Linked DNA regions of Drosophila melanogaster. The protein of the gene in region 2 interacts with the protein of the main gene of each other region in a pairwise test. Each region holds a gene or a part of one and is shown on either strand. Other genes may lie near its edges.

What was found. Proteins that work in one complex are often made in the same cells at the same time.
Region 1: the proteins of Coa8 (region 2) and Pex19 interact in a two-hybrid assay, tested with the Drosophila melanogaster proteins (one large-scale study listed by BioGRID).

What each region holds. Positions count from the first base shown.
Region 1 is NT_033779.5:12,089,877-12,097,687, forward strand, and holds Pex19 (peroxin 19), read left to right. Parts: upstream 1-1,945; 5' UTR 1,946-2,250; exon of another isoform or gene 2,251-2,482; intron 2,483-3,811; 5' UTR 3,812-3,985; coding exon 3,986-4,034; intron 4,035-4,117; coding exon 4,118-4,235; intron 4,236-4,301; coding exon 4,302-4,605; intron 4,606-4,671; coding exon 4,672-4,835; intron 4,836-4,892; coding exon 4,893-5,136; 3' UTR 5,137-5,359; downstream 5,360-7,811. Other genes in the region: CG6712 (uncharacterized protein), read right to left, coding at 5,360-6,544; Mt2 (methyltransferase 2), read left to right, coding at 6,710-6,770, 6,820-7,796.
Region 2 is NC_004354.4:1,878,602-1,885,806, reverse strand, and holds Coa8 (cytochrome c oxidase assembly factor 8), read right to left. Parts: upstream 5,526-7,205; 5' UTR 5,235-5,525; coding exon 5,184-5,234; intron 5,125-5,183; coding exon 4,861-5,124; intron 4,788-4,860; coding exon 4,572-4,787; 3' UTR 4,375-4,571; downstream 1-4,374. Other genes in the region: trr (trithorax-related), read left to right, coding at 1-1,800, 1,866-2,390, 2,470-3,065, 3,122-3,251, 3,306-3,488, 3,559-3,651; CG14818 (uncharacterized protein), read left to right, coding at 6,317-6,395, 6,457-6,668; CG14805 (uncharacterized protein), read right to left, coding at 6,803-7,205.

The DNA.
Region 1 (7,811 bases), on a different chromosome or scaffold from region 2:
TGTTGTTCATGCAAAGAAATATTCATATTCTGTATAATTATTGCTTAAGAATATATATTTTTCAGTACCTAAATGTATAAGAATGAAGAAGCTATAAATTAAATAATAAATAGTTAGTTAGTTGAAAGGGATTATCTTCCTGTGTATTGGGACGTCACAGAGTCTGGCTGAATTTTCGCCGATCATGTAGGAAGTGTCCCAGGGGCAAAAAGGGGAGCCCCTGCCACATACACCCACTTTCGAGAAACTCATTAGCCTGGGGCACAACAAACCCGGCAACTCGGGGCACAAACAAACCAATCCCGAGCCCAATCGACTGCTAAACGCTGTCGGCACACATCTGAGAGACGGCGACGGAGGCCAACAAATTGATCATTAAACAGAAGGCGCAAATGTAGGCGCAACCCATCGTTGTCCAACAGAAGATCGTAGCATCGGAGCATCAGGTCGAGATCAAACACCTGGGCCCTCGACCTGGCGAAGAAAGTGACGAGGCTGCGACGTCAACAAGATTAATTTGTTTTCCGGCCGGGTTCCATCTCCATCCAGAGTCACAGAGCCACATCCACATCCATATTTCCCAACTCAGCCGGCAACCTGTTGTCCAGTTCCCCGATTTGTAATTGCCCTGCTTTGTGGTAGTCGATCAGGTTCGATCGCGGATCGATCATATACTCTACTATAATGGACAAACTCGATGGATGGCGAAAGAACATCATTAGTTTTCTCGGCGTAGAGTCCACAAAGTAGGTGGCGTTTTTCTCACATCCCGAGTGTTTCTATGGAATCTCGATTTGGAGATGTTGGATCTTCTCTTCGGCGGCGTTTGTCCATTAGCCACGGTTTGCATCGGATATATGCGAATTTAAATAAAATCATTCAATTGTTTCATTAATCACTGGCTACGGTCGGCGTTTTCTATTAAAAAAAATGCATTGCCAATGGAAAAATTGACTGCAGAGACCGTGATTATTTATACATTAGTGGGAAAGAATCTTCAGTTTTATGCGAAGAGCTTAAAAAGTTTCTCATGATGTCCTACTTAGAAGTGGTTTTATGTTTTAGCAATCTATAATTTCTATGAAACTTAATTGGGAGTAATTCCTAACCACTGTAATAAAAACTATTTGACCTGAGGAAGCCAAAAGCAGCTCTTGAGCCACCAAATCGATTGGGAAACATAAAACATATATGTGCTGCAGTTCACGATAAAAAAAAAGCAGGGCATGGCGAATTGGGAGGCTGCAACCGAAACGCACACTTAATTTCCGCTTAATCAAACAGAACAGCGACTGGGGGGGCACAGACAGAGCAACCCACATCATCTGGAGTCGGCTACCCTTCGACCCAATCCTCTAGAGGAAAACGTATGGCAGACGCAAGGGCTCATTTGCATGGCCACTTTGATGGAGAGCGATGGGTGTCGGAGCATGAAGAGCTCGCCCCATTGCGCAATGGTTGATGGTGGATGTTGTATGTTGGATGGTGGATGTGGGTGTCTTGTCTTTCGGGAAGCTGCCAGCAGTTGACTTCTCCAGTTCTTCTTTTCGGGGCAGGATTTCAAAGGAAAAGTGAGCGTTTTCCAGGAATGACTGGGAGCCTTGTAATCGCAATTACCATGGCCAAAATATCAAAAGATAATGCCATCCTGGCCAGACACAAAAATATGTCGAAACATATATAAATATCTTATATTTTGTGATACTTGAATGATTAATACAAGGTGTACTAAAGCTACAAGTTATTTTGAATGTAATGTAACATTCAGATTTCTAGAATCAGAGTTTAATTTAATTAGTATAATTTTTTTATTTTAAAGAACTTTTATTCCTTTTATATTACATATATATTACATATATTTAGTGTCTTAATTTATTTACTCCTTTATATATACTTATTATTTACACTTTATTACCATAGCCACACGACACCAGCCACAATATAAATAATGTGTCTATAAAGTCGCAATCATCGTCATTACCGAACAATCGCGAAATCCATTATATCCTGTTCAGTGCATCGTAAAATCGAGCATCTTTCGCTGGAAGGATGCGGAAATGTTGAAAAAAATAGCGATGCGATCAGCGAGCGTGAAATCGCAGTCAGCATATGAAAAGGATGTACAGGATCGTATCCTGGCAAAGTTCCTGCAAAAAGGAAGGGAAGTGTAGATGCTTGTGAAGACGCTGATGGGCATTTTATGACGGTTGGAATCCTTCCTCTTCTGGGGAAATAGAGCTGGAGATTCAGGTAAATTCAGCTAGTCTAGCAAACCGATTATATCGGAATAAACAACTTTATGACGCGCCTGTTGGTGCCTTAAAAATTATGTCAAAAAAGAGCGAGTTTCTTGGTTTATTGGGATCGGGTGTGAGTGTGACCCAAAAACCATTGTTTTGGCCAACGAAGGGGTTTTTACGTTTTCGACTTTTGTTTTGACTTTTTGACGGTTGTCTTGACTTTTTGAACTGAACTGCTTGGGTTCTAAGAAATTTGAAGTTGAACTATATACTCTGATGTTCGCAGCGAATAGAGAATGAAATTTTTCCCTAAAAAGAGAGTTATGGTTTTTAGGGAAATTTTTGATGTTATATGTATGCATATTCTGTAAATGGATTACAGCCCATAAAAAGTCAAATTACCCTGTTTCTGTAGGAAATGTAAGAGTTTCAGGCGGTTTGTTCCACCCTAAGCCGCAAAATAAAACACCAAATTATGCATTATTTCAGTCGAAGCTCCGCCCATGCTGACATTTTCAGAGAACCGACTGACCGAAGAAAACTCCGCCCCAATAGTGGAAATAGAGGAAAAAACACAAATTTACCACAATACTTCGCTGCGTGGGCGTACCGAATCGAAGATTCGTTTTGCTCTTCTGGTAAACCGTGCGGTTAAAGTCGCAAAGAGCACAGCCCATCCCAGCCCAGCCATTTGACCATATGAGCGGAATTGAGGAAACCAAGCGGGGTTCCTCCGCAGCGGTGACCTTCGGGCGGGAGTGGACCTAGAGCTGGACGCCCTACTGCAAAATCCATGTGTCCCGTCCATGGGTGTGACGTTCTGGTTTCGGAATTGGTCGCGCATCAGCGTCGCGCCGTGACCTTGATGGTTTTGCGACCCCTCCCTCACCACTCAGTATGTGCGGTTTGGGCTCTGGTCGCAGTTTGGTCGCCGATCTCCGTCCGCGCACAGCGAGGTGCCATTCCCGGGGAGATTGGCTGAGAGTTTCGCAGAAGATGCGTAAATATTTTGGGTGATTATTTTAGATAATCTTCGACTAATGTCCTTGGTTTGTCTCTCAAGACAGGAGGGATATTGAGGTGCTTCGAATTTAAGTTTATTAGTCTGATGTAGGCCTAGATTTAAATATGTACACTATTATATTGTAGATGGGTGTACTGATGACTTGTTGTTGTAAGACATATAATTTTCTAAATCAAAACTCGAAATTTTCATTGACAATAAATATATGTTATATGAATTAAATGGCTAGACATTTTCACACTTATGTGTAGTCCACAATAATAATGCATTCCAGATTATTTCGAAATAGGTATTCTGAACTTGTTTTGAACTTTATATAATAGTAACAAATAAGAATTCTTAATTTAAGGAATATATTTACTAAAAATTAAACAAAATATAGCTATTTTTCTTAAAAAAAACATTAAATGCATTTAAAAGTTGTTTAAGTAATATGAATTTTGTCTAAGCCCTAACCGAAACTGAAATCTTAAAATTAAAACCAACAATTATATAGAAAAGTTAATTTTTAAATTTTTTTCTTATCATTTCGCATCCTTTTAAAAAGCCGTTACGAATGCGGTCGCACTAAGATGTGAGTCAGTGTAGCCACACCTGTTCAGCTGACTGCGGTATGCACCAGCAGCAGATGAACGGTCCCACTGATTGATTCAGTCAGTCTTTATTTTTTACCATTTCCCACCCACCACGAAATCAAGGAAAAGCATCCCGAAATTGCACAATGTCCGAAGAAAAGAAGAATGGCGATGAATTAAACGACTTGCTGGACAGTGAGTACAGCCCGGAAATGCCTTTGGCGATCCCTTCTCGACCCCTTACATAATGCGCACTGCGTCGTCCACTTTTCGCACAGGTGCTCTCCAGGATTTCGATAAAAGTGGTGCCGGTGACCAAAAGGAGCCGTCCGCATCATCGGATGTGGCGACCAACGCTGGACCTGAGGGCTCCGAGGATCCAGATGCGTTTTTCATGTGAGTCAATGCGCCAGTGCAACGCGGCACTTGAACTTTGTATTCTGACCTGTTATCCGCCTTCAGTGAGCAGGCCAAGGTGCTGGCCGATCGCATGAACACGCTCTTCGGAGGTCCGGACACGCCCAGTGGCGATATTCCGCCGCTGCCCCAGGATCCCGACCAGATCATGGCCGGTTTCAAAAAGATGGCCGAAGCGGCAGCGCTCACCTTGAGCGGCGAAAATTCGGCCACCGACGAGGATGTCTCCAAGTATTCTGATAGCATTTCCCAGGCTCTCAAGGGTCTGCAAGAGGGCTCCGAGAACCTGGCTGCTCCCGCCTCGGAGAACGACATAGCCAGCATGTTTGGTTCACTGAATCTTGAAGGGGTATGCATCCTGAAAATGAAATATGAATTCTCCTTGCTCAATCATTAAACAATCCCCGTTTGACAGGCTGGCGAGGGTGATGGAAACATGTTCCTACCATTCATGGAGGGCATGATGCAGAGCCTGCTCTCGGCGGAGATTCTGTTGCCCAGCATCCGGGAGCTGCTGGAGAAGTACCCCAAGTACCTCGAGGAGAACGACGCCAAGCTCTCCGCTGAGGACAAGGAAAGGTATGCTCGAAATCAACTCGCAATAAGATACTTTTATTGAGAAACCAATACATACAGGTACCAGAAGCAGATGGAGCTGTACAAGGTGATTGAGGGGCATTTACAGAGCGAGAAGACCGAGGATTCGGCCGCCGTGAAGCGAGAGAAGTTCCGCGTCGTGCTGGACGACATGCGCAAACTGCAAGACTACGGCCAGCCGCCGCCAGAGATTCTGGCCGAGACGGGCGGCGACTTGCCCTTCGGCGATCCCACTGCCGGCGTAGCAGCCGGCGGTCCCGGTCCCCAGTGCCCAACCATGTAGTGGCTGACGGAGCACGATAGTCTCGTGGTGTGCCAATTGGTTAACTGTTGAGTGTTGCACATTTTTTAGGCTAAGGCAAATTTGTATTTTATTTTATCACCGACAAAACAATACGGCGGTCGCTAATGGTTATCACCTCTCTCTTCAATCAAGCTATTATTTTCGTATTAACTGTTGGTTTATTAAGTAGTTCTATACCTAAATACAATGCCTCGAAATACACCTAGAGGAAGAAGCGACGTCGCGACTCCATGGCGTGCCGTTTGTTGCTGATTATCCAGGCATAGTCACCGGTCTTGCTGTCGAATGTGCCCTCCTGCAGGGAACGTAGTTTCAGGGTGAACCGCGGCCCCAGTTCGCGCAGCTTTACGCGTTTTCCCTCTTTGGTGAACTCGTAGCGGTGGTGACGGAAGAATATGTAATCTCGCTGATTGTGGAACGTCACCGCTCGGCGGCCGCGGAACTCGGGATCGTGATGGAAGAGGGCACCCAGCATGCGGCCCACGGTCAGACCCAAACGTGTGGTAAAATTGTTCAGGATCACTTCGGGCCTGTGCTTGGTTATCTCCTTGTGATCGCGCTTTATGTCCGAGGTGAGCTTCACGTTGGACAGCTTGAAGTGGGCAGTGGGACCATTGGGCAGATGAATGACCAGCAGCCCATTGGGCTTTCTGCGATCTTCGTTAACGATCACGACGTCTGTGAACTCCTCGCGCTCGGCGCTTTTGCATATCTTCTTCACCGACGACTTGTTGCGAATCTTAACCAGGGCGTTGGGGAATATGCGCGAAAGCTCCAGTCCAAACTTACGCGTCTTGGTCACCGGATTGTCAGCAAAAGTGATCAGCACCTTTGGCTCGTACGAACGTTCGAAGTACGAGCTGAAATCGTCCAGTTGGAGTTCCTTTTGCAACTCCTCGTTGTCGGAATCGTTCAGATTGGCCACCTCTGTTTGGTCCTTCTCTCGCAGGCTCTCTATGGTGTGACCAGGATTGGCGGGTACACCAGCCTTCCGTCGGGCACGGCGCTCCTGCATTTTTTTCTTGTGCTTCTCCTTCTTCATTTTTTTGTACAACGCCAAACGCTGCTCCTTGTTGCGCATCCAGCTGAGGGGATTCAAAACAGGAATTCGTGTCTTCTTGTCGTCGTCGTCGTCATCATCCTCTTCTTCGTCGTCGTCGTCATTCTCCTCCTCATCGTCGTCATCATCCTCTTCCTTTAAATCCTCACTGGCTTCCCCTTGTTTGGCCGTTTTTTTGCTGCTGGAGGCGGCTTCTTCATCGCTGCTATCAGTGACTGGCCCCTCCTGGACTTCCAAATCCTGTGGCTCCTCCTCGTCAAAGCTGGAATCGCTGTCCGAGTCCTGTTCCACGGGCGGAGGGGCTGTTTTTCGCTTAATTTTTATCATTATTCCGAGAGAATCACGAATTCACAAAAATGCGAGCGGCACGTGTTGATATTCTTCTTCTTATACCAATCACACGGAAACGCAGACAATCTGCTGTGTGGGGCAGTGTTGGAAAACGTGCCACTCACAACGTGTAGTTTGTAAACAAAAATATATTTAATTAAAATGGTATTTCGGGTCTTAGAACTATTTAGTGGCATTGGCGGCATGCATTATGCCTTTAATTGTGAGTTCGTCGATCATGATACATGCGAAACTAATATATACTTTTGAAGATGCCCAATTGGATGGACAAATAGTTGCCGCCTTGGATGTCAACACCGTGGCCAATGCGGTTTATGCGCACAATTACGGCAGTAATTTGGTGAAAACTAGGAATATTCAAAGCCTGAGTGTAAAGGAAGTCACAAAGCTTCAGGCCAACATGCTGCTGATGTCCCCGCCATGTCAGCCCCACACTCGCCAGGGATTGCAAAGGGACACGGAAGACAAGCGATCGGATGCACTTACTCATCTGTGTGGACTGATCCCAGAGTGCCAGGAACTGGAGTACATACTCATGGAAAACGTCAAGGGTTTCGAGAGCTCACAGGCGCGAAATCAGTTTATTGAATCGCTGGAGCGGTCGGGATTCCATTGGCGGGAGTTTATTCTAACGCCAACGCAATTCAATGTGCCAAATACTCGATATCGCTACTATTGCATCGCCCGCAAGGGTGCAGACTTTCCATTTGCCGGTGGAAAGATCTGGGAAGAAATGCCGGGTGCTATAGCCCAGAATCAGGGTCTTTCACAAATTGCCGAGATTGTGGAGGAAAATGTATCACCCGATTTCCTGGTGCCCGACGATGTCTTGACCAAAAGAGTGCTGGTCATGGACATAATACATCCTGCTCAAAGTAGATCCATGTGCTTTACAAAGGGCTACACCCATTACACCGAGGGCACGGGCTCTGCATACACACCGCTTTCGGAGGACGAATCCCACCGCATCTTCGAGTTGGTCAAGGAAATTGACACAAGTAATCAGGATGCATCGAAGTCGGAGAAGATTTTGCAGCAACGCTTGGACCTGTTGCACCAGGTGAGACTGCGCTATTTCACGCCACGGGAAGTTGCTCGTCTAATGAGTTTTCCGGAGAATTTTGAATTTCCGCCAGAAACAACGAATCGACAAAAGTATCGACTGCTGGGAAATAGTATTAATGTAAAGGTTGTCGGTGAACTTATTAAATTGCTGACGATAAAATAAAACAAAATACAACAT
Region 2 (7,205 bases):
GGGACTGGTCATGTGATCACCAGTACCGGACAAGGAGTTACTTTGGGAGGAGTGGGCGCCAGTACTGGAGCCAGTTCCTCGCCCATGCTCAAGAAGCGGGTTCGCAAGTTCTCCAAGGTAGAAGAGGATCACGATGCATTTACCGAGAAGTTGCTGACGCACATCCGCCAAATGCAGCCGCTTCAAGTTCTGGAGCCGCATCTCAATCGCAACTTTCACTTTCTTATCGGGAGCAACGAGACTTCTGGAGGTGGTTCGCCCGCCTCAATGAGTTCTGCGGCTTCTGCCGGATCATCATCGGCTGGAGGAGGAAAGCTGAAGGGCGGATCTCGAGGCTGGCCACTGAGCAGGCATTTGGAAGGTCTGGAGGACTGTGATGGCACCGTTCTCGGCCGCTATGGTCGAGTGAATCTGCCAGGGATACCCTCGTTGTACGATAGCGAACGCTTTGGCGGAAGTAGAGGTCTAGTTGGTGGATCTGCACGAACCCGTTCACCCTCGCCAGCAGAGTCTCCGGGAGCAGAAAAGATGCTACCAATGTCTAGCATCCAAAATGATTTTTATGACCAGGAGTTCTCCACGCATATGGAGCGCAATCCTAGGGAACGCCTGGTGCGGCACATTGGAGCCGTCAAGGATTGCAATTTGGAGACCGTAGACCTGGTGGAGAGCGAGGGCGTAGCTGCGTGGGCGACTCTTCCACGACTTACCCGCTATCCGGGTCTAATACTGCTCAATGGAAACAGCCGTTGCCATGGACGGATGTCGCCGGTCGCACTGCCGGAGGATCCGCTGACCATGCGCTTTCCCGTGTCTCCACTGCTTCGATCCTGCGGCGAAGAGCTGCGCAAGACACAGCAGATGGAGCTGGGAATGGGACCGCTGGGCAATAATAATAATAACAATTACCAGCAGAAGAACCAGAATGTGATACTCGCACTGCCCGCCTCGGCATCGGAGAACATAGCCGGCGTGCTGCGGGATCTGGCCAATCTACTGCACTTGGCGCCCGCCCTTACCTGCAAGATCATCGAGGACAAGATTGGCAACAAGTTGGAGGACCAGTTTATGAATCAGGACGATGAAAAGCACGTCGACTTCAAGCGACCACTGAGTCAAGTGAGTCACGGTCATCTGAGGAAGATCCTCAACGGGCGTCGTAAGCTCTGCCGCAGCTGCGGAAATGTGGTTCACGCCACTGGGCTGCGAGTTCCTCGGCACAGTGTTCCTGCCCTAGAAGAGCAACTCCCCCGGTTGGCTCAACTGATGGACATGCTGCCAAGAAAATCGGTTCCCCCTCCTTTTGTGTACTTCTGCGATCGCGCCTGCTTTGCGAGATTCAAGTGGAATGGAAAGGATGGCCAGGCGGAGGCGGCTAGTCTGCTGCTTCAGCCAGCCGGCGGTTCTGCTGTAAAATCATCCAACGGAGACTCGCCTGGCAGCTTCTGCGCCAGCTCAACTGCCCCAGCGGAAATGGTGGTCAAACAAGAACCGGAGGACGAGGATGAGAAAACGCCGAGCGTACCGGGCAACCCCACAAATATCCCCGCACAGCGCAAATGCATTGTGAAGTGTTTTAGTGCTGATTGCTTCACCACGGACTCGGCGCCATCCGGACTGGAGCTCGACGGAACTGCTGGTGCCGGAACTGGGGCTGGACCGGTCAATAATACTGTGTGGGAAACAGAGACCAGTGGGCTGCAGTTGGAGGACACGCGGCAGTGTGTCTTCTGCAATCAGCGTGGTGACGGCCAGGCAGATGGACCCTCGCGACTGCTTAACTTCGATGTGGATAAATGGGTAAGTAGAAAGTGTAACCCTAATGATTGATTGCATCACAGCTTAATGTACACTTTCACATACAGGTTCACCTTAACTGCGCCCTGTGGTCCAACGGCGTGTACGAGACGGTGTCTGGGGCGCTGATGAACTTCCAGACAGCTCTGCAAGCGGGACTGAGCCAGGCGTGTAGCGCTTGTCACCAACCAGGCGCCACCATCAAGTGTTTCAAGTCGCGCTGCAACAGCCTGTACCACCTGCCATGCGCCATTCGCGAGGAGTGCGTCTTTTACAAGAACAAGTCCGTGCACTGCAGCGTTCATGGTCATGCTCATGCCGGCATCACGATGGGTGCAGGAGCAGGCGCCACGACTGGCGCCGGATTAGGAGGCTCTGTGGCAGATAATGAACTGAGCTCCCTGGTTGTCCACCGGAGAGTTTTTGTCGATCGGGATGAAAACCGTCAGGTGGCCACCGTCATGCACTATTCAGAGCTAAGCAACCTGCTCCGTGTGGGCAACATGACGTTCCTGAACGTGGGTCAGTTACTGCCGCATCAGCTGGAGGCCTTCCACACACCCCACTACATCTACCCCATTGGCTACAAGGTGGTAAGTACAAGTACCAGCCGGTCGGCCGCCATGTTTATGAACAGCAATCTTAAATCCCGTTCCTCTTCCTCCCCCATAGAGTCGCTACTACTGGTGCGTGCGACGACCCAATCGTAGGTGTCGATACATTTGCAGTATCGCAGAGGCCGGATGCAAGCCCGAGTTTCGCATCCAGGTGCAGGACGCCGGCGACAAGGAGCCGGAGCGCGAGTTTCGGGGCAGTTCGCCCTCGGCGGTCTGGCAGCAGATTCTGCAGCCAATCACGCGACTGCGTAAGGTGCACAAGTGGTTGCAGCTCTTTCCCCAGCACATCAGTGGTGAGGACCTATTTGGCCTAACGGAACCGGCCATTGTGCGAATCCTGGAAAGCCTCCCGGGCATTGAGACGCTCACTGACTACCGCTTCAAGTACGGTCGCAACCCGCTTCTTGAGTTCCCGCTAGCCATCAATCCGTCTGGAGCGGCGCGTACGGAACCCAAGCAACGACAGCTGCTCGTCTGGAGGAAGCCGCATACGCAACGCACGGCCGGCAGCTGCAGCACGCAGCGGATGGCCAACTCGGCTGCGATTGCCGGAGAAGTGGCCTGCCCGTACAGCAAGCAGTTCGTGCATTCGAAGAGCTCCCAGTACAAAAAGATGAAGCAGGAGTGGCGCAACAACGTCTACTTGGCGAGGTGAGACATTAGGTCCTAGTCAATAACCACTGATTACTTAAGCTCTCATTTTCTAGATCTAAGATCCAGGGTCTTGGCTTGTATGCAGCTCGGGACATTGAAAAGCACACCATGATAATCGAGTACATTGGCGAGGTTATCCGCACCGAGGTCTCCGAGATACGCGAGAAGCAGTACGAGTCCAAGGTGGGTTTCGCGACCATGTTTTCTTGTAACTTTGACTAATCTCTGATTCCCCAGAACCGTGGCATCTACATGTTCCGGCTGGATGAAGACCGCGTGGTGGACGCCACTCTAAGCGGCGGGTTGGCGCGCTACATCAACCATTCGTGCAATCCCAACTGTGTTACCGAGATAGTGGAGGTCGATCGCGACGTGCGGATCATAATATTCGCCAAGCGGAAGATCTATCGCGGCGAGGAGGTGGGTCCCGCAAATAGAAGTGTTTCGCCTGTACCTTAACTCACAATATCTCTTAAATTCTGTGCTTTAGCTCTCGTACGACTACAAGTTCGACATTGAGGACGAGTCGCACAAGATACCGTGCGCCTGTGGAGCGCCCAACTGTCGCAAGTGGATGAACTAGAGTCGGGAGGAGCCTCTAGCGGAGGACCAAAGGAAGCGCAAGAAGCGGCGGCGAGCACGTCGCTCCCAGTGAACAGGAACAGGAGTAGAGACAGGAACAGGAACAGGACTTGTATCTGATCAAGTAGCTAGATTCGCTAAGCATTATAGTTCGTGTACATTTATATATATATATATATATATATATATATATTTATATATATATAGTTTATATGCTATATGCAGATATGCTCGTGGAGAGCATATGACCTTGTAAGTTTTGTATATGTGCCCACTGTAGCCAATTCGTATCCTTTATATCGCTCTTAAGTGCAAAAGTGGAGAGTGTCTTCATAGTTTAAATTGAATAATTGCTATCGTTTCTACATAGAAAGAATATAAATGTTACTGCTAGGACACGACCACCCCTGTAATGTATTTCGGACCCCCTCTCCTCACACAGTCGCTGGAGCACCTAATTTTATTTGTTTTAGCACCATCTCCACATTCATCACTACCACCATTGCAATTATCGCGAGGAAACTGACCGCCCCGATGGCCAACCCAAAACTTGACTTTATGCGTGTGTGCCTTCCCCTCTGTTTACCATTATTATTATTATCATAATTGTAGCGGTTATCTTTCAATATTCGGCCACTTTACATGGGGAGCGATCCTTCTTTCGCTGCGTGTATCGTGCGCAACCTTCTTTGAATATATACACTGATAAGGATATGAACACCTACTTCTATTTTATTTTATTTAAATAGTTTGCGATTACTTTTAAGTACATTAACTAACTCCGAACAACGTGTATTTTTCATCCCCTTAAATAGTAGCTAAGTAAATTTTATGCCACCATTTTACGCACGTGATCTTTTATTCCAACTTATTGCAAACGGCAAACTGGAAATTACGAAATGGGGACGACAGATATTGCACCTAAGATCTTCGCTTGGCCAGCGCCAGAAGCCTCTGGAGCTGGACTGCGGCAGCCAGGGTGAGTATGTCGAAGTTCTTCAGGTACCAGGAGATGTTGTACATGATGTGGATGCGCCAGTTCTTGTCGAGGAACGCTTTGTAGAAGTGGCTCATCTGGTCCGCGGACACTTCGCTGGTTCCGCTTTCCTTGTGCAGGCGGATGAAGTCTTCCTTTTCCTGTAAACGAACCAATTCGAAAGAGACGACATTAGCGGACTAGAAAGAGATGGCACAGTGGTCGTGGTTGTACCTCGTAGAAGCGCTTATTGTGTTTTGTCCAGAAGTCCGTGTTCCATGCCTCCACCTCGATCCGCTTAAGACGCAGGCTTCTTGCCAGCCGCGTCTCCTCATCGCCGTAGTGCCGTACGTACGGACGTAGGTTTGATTGCGCGTCTGGCGGTCCTATATAGTCGCACTTCACCGTCTTGGGATCGGGCTTGTGTGGCAAACCGACGACGGGTTTTTCTTGTGGCGGTGGACATCCCGGCTGCACTGCGGCATAGCACCGCGGTAGCTGTGTAAACAAGAAATTGAAAATCCGAATCCTATAAGGCAACACACTCATGGACTCACGCTGAACTGGAAAAGCGATATCCGGGGCTGGCACCTAAAACATTTGTTCATTTTTCGGTTATGTTATGTGAGGTGCAGTGTGGCCGACTGTCACGCTAGGCAACAGATTAAATATTGATGCCAGCAAATATTACGGGCATTCGCATGCGATTCTCGACTGAATATCTGGAGTTCAGAAACCAGTAGCCAGTAGCCAGCCAGCTGATACATGTCGACAAAATCAAGAAACAGTTTCTTTTTCCAAAATGGTCGCATATTGCATGTTTCCAGTCGCAATTGAACCAATAGGAATGCAGCCTTGTGAACAGTTAGACCAAAGCTTAAGCAAGAGTATCAGAAGAGATGTGAACCCCTCTTGTTTCCCTGTTCGTGACACGCAATCGGCACGTCATGCTCGAGCAAATACCAAAATCCCTAGTAATTTGCTTGCGTTGTGAAAATAAAACGATATACATGCACATCTCTAAAAACAACGTAGAAACAGAGGCTAGTACACTTTCTGTTTATTATGCTCGCCTCATGATTGCAACAAGAAATCTACTGTCGCAATTCGATGCTTCAAAATTATTTCGGTCAAAATGGGCAAGATTATCGACTGTAGACACCAGGCGAACAGAAAACGTTGGAGTACGACCGCTGATCGCTCTGAGAAATTAAACAGCCGTTCATTGTCAGAAGGGGTCAACTCTGGCCAATCAACATTAAGCACTATGGGAAAGAACCGTTCGATTAAGTCCAGTCAACGCCTAGAGATACGTAAACCATTTGTTTCATTGTTCGTGTCACGAATTAGGCACGACATATGCGAATAAGCCAAAATTTCCCATGCTATTCCATTGGTACGTAAAAATAAAACGAGGCACGGGCACATCCCTAAAAACTAAGTGGAAACTTAGCTTTGGACTTTTGCAGTGGATTATGTTCGCCTAGTGTTTTGAGCTAAAAAGTGTTTTCGTAATTACAAAAACGTACGTATGTACTGAATTCCCCTATTAAGTTTTTTTTTTTATATCGTATTTGAACTGAGACCTATCGTTCTCTTCTAACCACCTCTATCGTTTATAGCTATCCCGTGACAATAAATCCAACTGGAAAAAACAAACGGAAAAACTCCGGGGAAAATTCCAGGGAAAATGTCACCCAAAAACAATCATGATCCCTCGTCGTCCGGCGACTCTGGCAACACCAATGTCCAGGAGGCGGACCTCCAAGGTGAGTTTTGACAGCGCCCCGTTTCTGCTCGGGATTGGCTCTAATGGAATGACCCCTACAGAGATGGAGGACGTGAACAACAGTCTGGACGCTCTCAGCTGTGCCCTGGACGCCGTGGAGCAGCGCACAGACGACATTATGTCCCAACTACGGGAGCTGCTGAACTCCAACCGAGAGATCCGTCGCCTGATTGCCGAGGAAAATGACAACGCTCCCGAATCGGGAGATGACAACATGGACGGGCAGGCGGGCAGCGAAGCGGCACCCAAGTAGATCCCTCTACGAGAAGTTATTGTTTTGTTCATCCAAATCGTTTTTAGGCACAATCAGTGCTGTTTTTTTTCTATTATCATGTATTTTTGTCCTAAGTCCTAAGTAAACGTAATTGAAAGCAAGCTTAAGGTTCACTATGTCTTCCGCGCTTTCTTGCGCTTTGTCTTCTCTGTGATTTCAGCCTGGCCATTGGTATCGCTAGTAATATACTTGAAAGCTATCTGGAACAAGCGCATTGACTGCGCTTTGAGGCGCGCATTCTCGGCCTGCAGCTCTTGCACTCTTTCGTCGCTTGTCTGTGCTGAGTCTGGCTGATATTCTGCATACGATTTTTCGGACTCAGCTTCCTTGGAGGCGGTTTCCATTGGCTCGGATTCAGGTTCTTCTTCTTCGACCTCGGAATCCTCGACATCTGTAGCTTTGGTTTCCGCCTCAATTCCTTCGTCGTCCTCGTTCTTTCCCGAACTCATGGACGCTATAAGTTTGAGTATTATCTCCTCATCCGTACCCGGATGACTTTGGGTGTAGTCCAGCTCC